2 linked regions of the Schizosaccharomyces pombe genome follow. The protein of the gene in region 2 binds, or shares a complex with, the protein of the main gene of each other region. Each region holds a gene or a part of one and is shown on either strand. Other genes may lie near its edges.

The links. Proteins that work in one complex are often made in the same cells at the same time.
Region 1: vps15 (region 2) and atg38 share a complex: the UniProt entries of both Schizosaccharomyces pombe proteins name them as parts of the autophagy-specific vps34 PI3-kinase complex.

The regions. Positions count from the first base shown.
Region 1 is NC_003423.3:207,965-211,672, reverse strand, and holds atg38 (protein Atg38), read right to left. Parts: upstream 1,915-3,708; 5' UTR 1,872-1,914; coding exon 1,848-1,871; exon of another isoform or gene 1,752-1,847; coding exon 501-1,751; downstream 1-500. Other genes in the region: protein mug168, read right to left, coding at 1-162; alpha,alpha-trehalase Ntp1, read right to left, coding at 2,388-3,708. UniProt on the Schizosaccharomyces pombe protein: Functions as a part of the autophagy-specific VPS34 PI3-kinase complex I that plays a role in autophagosome assembly. This complex is essential to recruit the atg8-phosphatidylinositol conjugate and the atg12-atg5 conjugate to the pre-autophagosomal structure.
Region 2 is NC_003423.3:723,401-727,156, reverse strand, and holds the start of vps15 (serine/threonine protein kinase Vps15), read right to left. Parts: upstream 1,864-3,756; 5' UTR 1,815-1,863; coding exon 1,729-1,814; intron 1,677-1,728; coding exon 1,549-1,676; exon of another isoform or gene 1,475-1,548; coding exon 897-1,474; intron 840-896; coding exon 1-839. Other genes in the region: copper chaperone Sco1, read right to left, coding at 2,607-3,398. UniProt on the Schizosaccharomyces pombe protein: Functions as a part of the autophagy-specific VPS34 PI3-kinase complex I that plays a role in autophagosome assembly. This complex is essential to recruit the atg8-phosphatidylinositol conjugate and the atg12-atg5 conjugate to the pre-autophagosomal structure.

The sequences.
Region 1 (3,708 bases), 520 kb from region 2:
TGATCTGCCAAATGGCGTTGGATTTTTGGAATCGAAATGCGAAATACCCAACGGTGAGTGTACCCCTTGACTCAAATCACCAATGTTGCTAACATCAAAAGGTAATACCGGGCTCGGTTTACTAACTTTTCGATCTTCAAAATCAGAGCCATCCATCCTCATCCTAGTTTTCGTAGTCGAATTCAGTTATAGAAGCACGTAAAAATTTATTTCAGAACTTCAGGTGGTAAAAAGAGAAAGTAAAATCCCAAATATAATGGTATGCGCAGAGAACATATCTAAGCCAAAATAAGTATTGATTCCATTAAGGATGGCTCGCCACAGACCATGTCATCGTAATTTTGCCTCCCCATGCATTTCTCTTCAAAAGGAAAACTAAGGCACAATTTAACGAAACATACAGAATTTTGCAGAGACAACATAATGTATTGCTTTGAAAACTGATTTTCGATCAGTTGCCGTTTCTTTAAAGAATTAATAAGTAAATCGAGTAATGACATTTAGTGAAGATCTTGATCGAGAGTACTGGTTTGAAATTGCTCCAGTTGCTTTTGTAAAGTTGCGATTTGTGTTTCAAGCTGTTTGATTTTCAATTGAGAATCGACCGTAATCTGTGCCGTAGATGATTCAAGTGAATCAGTTCCGGACTCCATAGGCTCCTCTTTTTTCTTTCCAGATATTGAACGAAAAAATGGAAACCGAAACAGACTTTTGCGTCTGGTATATTTCATGAGTTTGGTCGGAGCTTCAATTGTTTGGAGCGTTGGCGTTTCAGATCTATCAGGGAAGTTATTGTTTATTTCCTTAGTAAAATCATTATTTTCCCAAGAGCCGTTAACAAGACGGTTTGACTGAATATCCTCCCTAGAATCCGTAATCTCTCCAATACTACTTTCGCTACTTGATGCGTGACCAAATGCTCTTTTAAATGATTCTTCCCTTTTATGACTTCTTCCCATCTCCTCTTCAGATAATTCCTTAGCATCATTGTATGAAGGAATAAGAAACTTGGATACATTGTTATCATCTGTAGTTCCTTGAGTAATGTGTTGTAAATGTAAATCCTCGTTTTCATATGGAATCCTTGTATTATTTAAATATTCTTGTTGACTTATATCGAAATTCGATAGCGGTTGAATCTGCTCGTTCGTATTCTGATAGGCAGGATCTTCTTTGCTTGTTGCATTGGCATCTTCTTCAACGCTGTTACCAAGAGAAAAATCATCACCTTCTACGATCAAAAAACTCTCATCGGAGCTAAATATGCTTGGTGATGGCTGATCATCATCCATGGGAACGATGGAAAAAGCAACTGCAAGTCCATAGTTGGTTGACAGCTTTTTAACCTGCATTTCGAATTTAGAATACATTTGATATAAATCGTCCTCAGAATCTTCCATTAAAGCTTCACGAAAGCTTGGTTTTAGTCGAACAGTAGTATTATGATCACCTGGTAAAACCATTGAATTGGACGTAAATCGTGGAGTTAATGAAGAAGTATACATAGGTGATAATCTCGTAGACATTGACATTGATATTGGTGTTTGTTTGTTTGGCAATGATTCTCGTAACTCGCGTATACGAACCATCAACTCTTCGATTTGGTTATTTGCGCATCTTTTAATAAGAGGCTGAGCTGTGTTCTGACATATCTTTTCAAACTGACTTTTTGCTAATCCATAATACATAATTGCTTGTGAAATTTCTCCCAAAACTTCCTGATTTTCCCCATCTCGGGCGTATTCATGCGCCTAATTTTGTTAACATTCACATTCAAAAGCGAACGATAATTACGAACTTCAAACACTAAATTTACTCATATCCTTATCTCTTTAAGCATCTCTTACCTTTCTTAATGAATATCGAACCATAACACATTTTAATAATATACTGTTGTTGTGTAAGGAAGTGGCCAACTTATGTTGTCTACAAATGTGAACGACATAATACGGTACATTAACTCAAAATAAGTTTCTAGAAGACAATTCCTTCAAAAAAAAAACTAATAAAGTGATAGACACCAAATTAAACATTAGAGTTATATTCGGACTAAAACTGCAACAACAGTACTATCATGGAAATTATAAATTAGAATTGAATCGTAAGGTAAAAAATTCATTTACTACTTCTTTCTTTTAAGTAAAAAAGTAATAATATCGCTGGTGATAAGCTTTACTCATAAATTTAAATAGAATTAACTATTGTTTCGTAAGGGAATATTCGCCAAATAGAACCTTCATAGTAGAAGGATTTAATGGAAGGTATAACATGTAACATAACAATGGGTTTTAACCGGTCGATAACCAAAATAACATAATAAGAGAATAAAGCTAAAGGCAACTAAAAAAGTAGACAAAGTCGATTATTTTTTTCAAGCAAACGATAACTTAATTTTTATGAATGGAAAGGTTTTCGAAAGCAGGAAGAGATTCTTCCTTGATGCCGGCAAAGAAAACATCAGGAGTCGTACAAGCACCAAGAGCCCGACGCATATGCGAATTACAGAATGTAAGGCCGACTTCGTAACTGGCATTAACCCATCCAAAACCTTCGCGAGCAACGCCTTTGATATTGACACCCTGATTACCATACTCAGCTTCAACACGATGTGGATCAACTGGTCTGGTCAAATCATATTTTTCAACAACAATACCATTAAAATCAACAAACGATTTAGTAATAGTATATAGCCAACGATATACAAGTCTACGAGTCTCCTCTTCATATCCGTATCGAATCAATCCATACCAAGCTAAAATCTGCTGAGGGCTCCAGCCATTAGGATAATCCCATTGACGGCTGGGATTATCAAGACCCACTTTACCCAAGCTTCTCTTTGTACCAGCAACTATACCTCCAGCAACTTCAAACTTGGGAAGACTAACATCAACAAATTTTGCGGCTTGACGGGGAGTTGCCACACCGGCCCACAAGGCCCAGAAAGCAGTAGCACTTTCATAAGTACTCTTCGTTTCTAACTTCGTGTTGTAATCATACCACATCGAATCAGCTTCTGACCAAAGATACTTTTCCATTGCAGCACGACGAGCACGAGCACGACGATCCCAAATGGCAGAAGTTTCTATAGTTCCGTTTGGAAGTACAAACTTGTCATCGAAATATTCTAAAATCACATGTGAGATGTCGGTTTCATATTTGTATAGCAACGAGTTCAGATCCACGGTGGCCAAGTCAGCACAAACTTTTTCCAACCGATAAGTAGTATCATGCCCGCTTTCGCGAACTGCGCGGTCGTGCACGAAATACTCATCCAACGCGGGTTCATGAATTTGTTGGTAATTGTATGCATGAGTAAACTCCTCAAGAGTCATATGATACTTCTCCATGTAAGGACGAAGCAAATGCTCAAAATGAGAAGCTTCAGTTTCCGGAGGAATACCGAGTCCTCCAGGGCGATAGCGGGAAAGACCAGTTTTGGGATCCAGTCGTGGAGTGGCAGTCCAAACAGTGTGATATTCTTTTATAGTCGCAGAAAAGGCCCGATGCAAAAAGTCTAAAGATCCTTCTTCGTTTTTTATACGTTCATAAACTCGAAGGGCCATATCGGTCAAAAATGGAGGCTGGGAGCGAAGAAGATAATAAGTGCGGTTGGCATTCAAGATCTTACCGTAATAGGTAATTTCAAAAATAAAATTCTCCACCATACCTTTCGCCAAGTCAACCCGATCGTCAACAAGCAAACCCAGT
Region 2 (3,756 bases):
GCTAAAATTGGAAGGCAGGATGCATATGTTGCTCGAGTACGAGAATTCATATCGAAAAGAAAATGCTGAAGGTCAGGAAATAAATACTCCTGAAAAAGAAATGCATTAATCGGAGCAATAGAGGTTACATTACTAACTAGGCGAGTAATCGTAATAAGCGCACTAATCCTTACATCGGCGTATTGGTCACGAAGCAAAGTCATAACAAAAGGTAAAACTGTATCAAGTTTGGACTCATCGCAGATGTTCCTTGATAAAATTTGCACCAAACTTAAAGCGTTTATCTTAGATTCTCTTGTATTCACGTGTCTAATAGTGGAAAGAACTATGGGAAGAAGAACAGCGGCACCATAAAGATGATTTTCATCCGTTTCAATAGATGAAATATCCTCAATGACTGAAGGAGAAGGTGCAGGTGTGGAACCTTGCTCTTTATCCTCAAATCCTTTTTTTTCTTGCATAGTATTATACAGTCTTAGATACCAATTCTTGGCAGCAGGGTTTTTATTATAAAATTCATCAAGTGTGGTAAAAAGGGGTACAGAATAAGAATCTATTCCATTATATTCATGAGGGGTGTGCATAAGGTTTGAAATGTCATTATTATTTGGGGGCATAATATCTCTGTAAATGTCGTCAATTCGAGAACCATACAAACTGCAAGCGTCATTAGGCTGCTTGGCAGAAAGAATTCCGCTTGGATCGACTAAACCAATACAGTAATCATACAAAGTGTCATAAAAGCATGCAGGAAAAACGGTTCCTCGATATTTCTGCAAATAGGCATCAGCCGACAATCGTTGACTGGGATCTCTGTCTAGCATACTTAGAATCATGTTCTAGAAGTATTATGTTAGTAAACTAACGTAGAATGAATTCTATATAAGATTTCTTACTTGGGTACTCTTATCCTCGATTTGCTCAAGAACAGACTGTAAATCGTAAGACCCATGGGCCTTGTAGCTAAAAAGCTGAGAAAGCGTAAAAAGAGGCGACTCCTCCAAAAGCAGTTCTGCAAACACACATCCAAGACTAAAAATATCCATTGCAGGCGATAATGGAGCAGGTTGTAATTGCGATGCAGGAACAAATCTTTCGGGAGCGATATTACAGACTCTTCGAGATGAAGTGTCAAAAAAATAGCCGTAGTCAGCAGGATTATCCTCTGGCAAATAAGTAGGTTTAAAAGAGCTAAAGTCCGATAGATAAGCCCAATTCCAAGAAGTAATTAAAATGTTTTCCGATTTAATATCACCATGACAAACACCAAGTCTATGACAATCGGAAATTCCCTTTAATAATTGAAACATTATCCACTTTTTTTCAGTCAACTCAAGAAAGGGCCTAGTAGAAATTCTATCATACAAATTGTGAGTCACGTATGGACGCACCAGGTAGGCAGCGCGAAGCGTAACCAACGTTTTTATATAGGGTACGGCATTTGGCACTCTATATGAGATATTCTCTTGCTCCTCTGTTGTTTTAGTTAGTCTTTATTCCCATAATTGATGCGATTCGCGTAAATGAGACTATAAACAAATGACCTACCCTTCAACAAATTTACAATGCTTGACAACGAAATTTCCGGAAGTTTATTTACAAATACTTTGATTAAAACATCATATCCCTTGCGATCTTGCATGCGAAACGTTCGCAAAAAATGTGAATCCCCTAGACTAAATTTCGTAACGTTAGAATTGCTGGGAGAATAAGAATTCTTTGACTTACCTTCTTTCATTGTGATATTCTGGAAGCTCTTCCTCGAACAATTCATGGAATTGGGGGGTCTGGATAGTGGAAAGCTGAATCCCCATAGGTCCTAAATGTTGCTTGCACAGGGCATCACTTAAATGTAAAAAGGCTAAGGCAATGTCGTAGATGAGATGGGCCTTTAAAAATCACAATAATGGTATAACGAACAATATTTGTAAATATCCTTATATCGTTGAAGATTAAATCTACTATAGATGAATTGTAAATAGCAATGAAAATAGTGAATACCTTTACTAGATAAGAGCAAATTTATTTTTAAATAGATATCGAGGAGAAGCTAAAAGTTCTTTGCATGCATGCAGATGACTTTCCCAATGAGATATTTCAGCTAAACAACTTTAACATGTAAAACGCACACGGGTTTCGTACATTATATGAAGATACATAATGAATTGTTTTTATTAAATATTTTAAATTGATTTAAATAAGAGTAATGGTAAAATCAGTTTCTTCATTTATTTGCGTTAAAGGTAAATGCATAGGGTTTTTGGATATGAAAAGATAGTATCATAAACACCTTCCAAAATATTCAATTTTTTCGGATTTTAAAAATAGTAATAAATTAACACGTTTTTAAATTTCCAGTAAGAATAAACTTGCAGAAAGGGGTTTTCCCCTTATGTCGAAATATTTCAAACCAGAACGCAGCGCTTCTCTAGCTAGGATTCAACAAAATCATTTTTACGAATCAAAGAGAAAAAGAAAATAAATCTGTGTACCGCCAGAAAATAGTGGGAAATTGTTTTTAAAAGTATTAAGTAAAAATTAGTGAATATGGAAAAAGTAGTAACCCAGCATAAAATCAAAACACATGAAAGGCTAAAGGTATTTAATTATTTCTGTTTCTTTCGGGACAAATAGTAAGAACCGATTGCACGAGCTAAATCTTCAGAGGTAGAGTTGCGACCAAATACTTCAATGAACTTACCCTCTGGATCCATCAAGTAGAAGAATACCGAGTGGTCAACCAGATAATCATCCTTTTTAGGGTCAATGTTCTTAGGGGTAGAAAAATAGACTCGGAATTTTTTACAAATATCTTTTATTTCTTCATAGGATCCTGTGAGACCAACGATTTTAGGATTGAAATCTTCAAGGTATTCAGCCATTTCTTGCGGAGGATCACGGGCTGGATCACAGGTTATGAAAATAGGATAAACCACGTCTCCAACAACATTGTTTACAATATCAATAGCTGCTGACATTTTGTCGAGCTCGTCGGGGCAAATGTCGGGGCATCTGGTGAAACCAAAGTAGATTAAGGAAAATTTTCCCTTGAAATCGTTATCAGTAACTCGATTTCCATGATGATCAATTAAAGAAAAAGCACCTCCTAATTGGGGACGACCTATGGTAGCCAAAACCTTGTCGTTTTGCCTCTCCAACACTTTTTTCTTTTCATGTTGGAAATAAGCATAAAGGCCAACGCTTGTTGCAGCTGCAAGAAGCAATGCTCTTATAGAAATCATTCCACGCCATGATTGGTATGTCTGCGTTCGATTGTCAGTAGCTAGATTTTTGCGACCGTCGGCAAAACGCGCTAGGCACGTACGATTCAAAGGAAATCGAGGACGAATCAAGCTGTAATGACAATGCCTAGAGAAAACTAAACCCCTTCGAAACATTACTTGATTTGAGTGATTGCCAACAATCGATTCAAAAATCGTAATATTTGGACAAGACAAAAAACTGAAGTTAAAACAGTAACAAAAGTATAACCAAGACTAGCAAGTTTTAAAAAAATTTAAAATCTTTTCTGTCTCTTCAAATACAAAACGGAGAAAACAATTTCTCACAAAGAATAAGCCTCTCCAAGTTAGTCCAATTTCACGTCAGTATGGGTATTTGGGTGGTAATGAAGACGTTGAAAATAGAATTTCACCAAAATTACTGCAAACATTTTAGCGTTCAAAAAAAACGTAATTTTATCGCTAATCCTTTAAAGAGTTCATATGCATATAGCCGCTTCTCCAATGCTGTAAT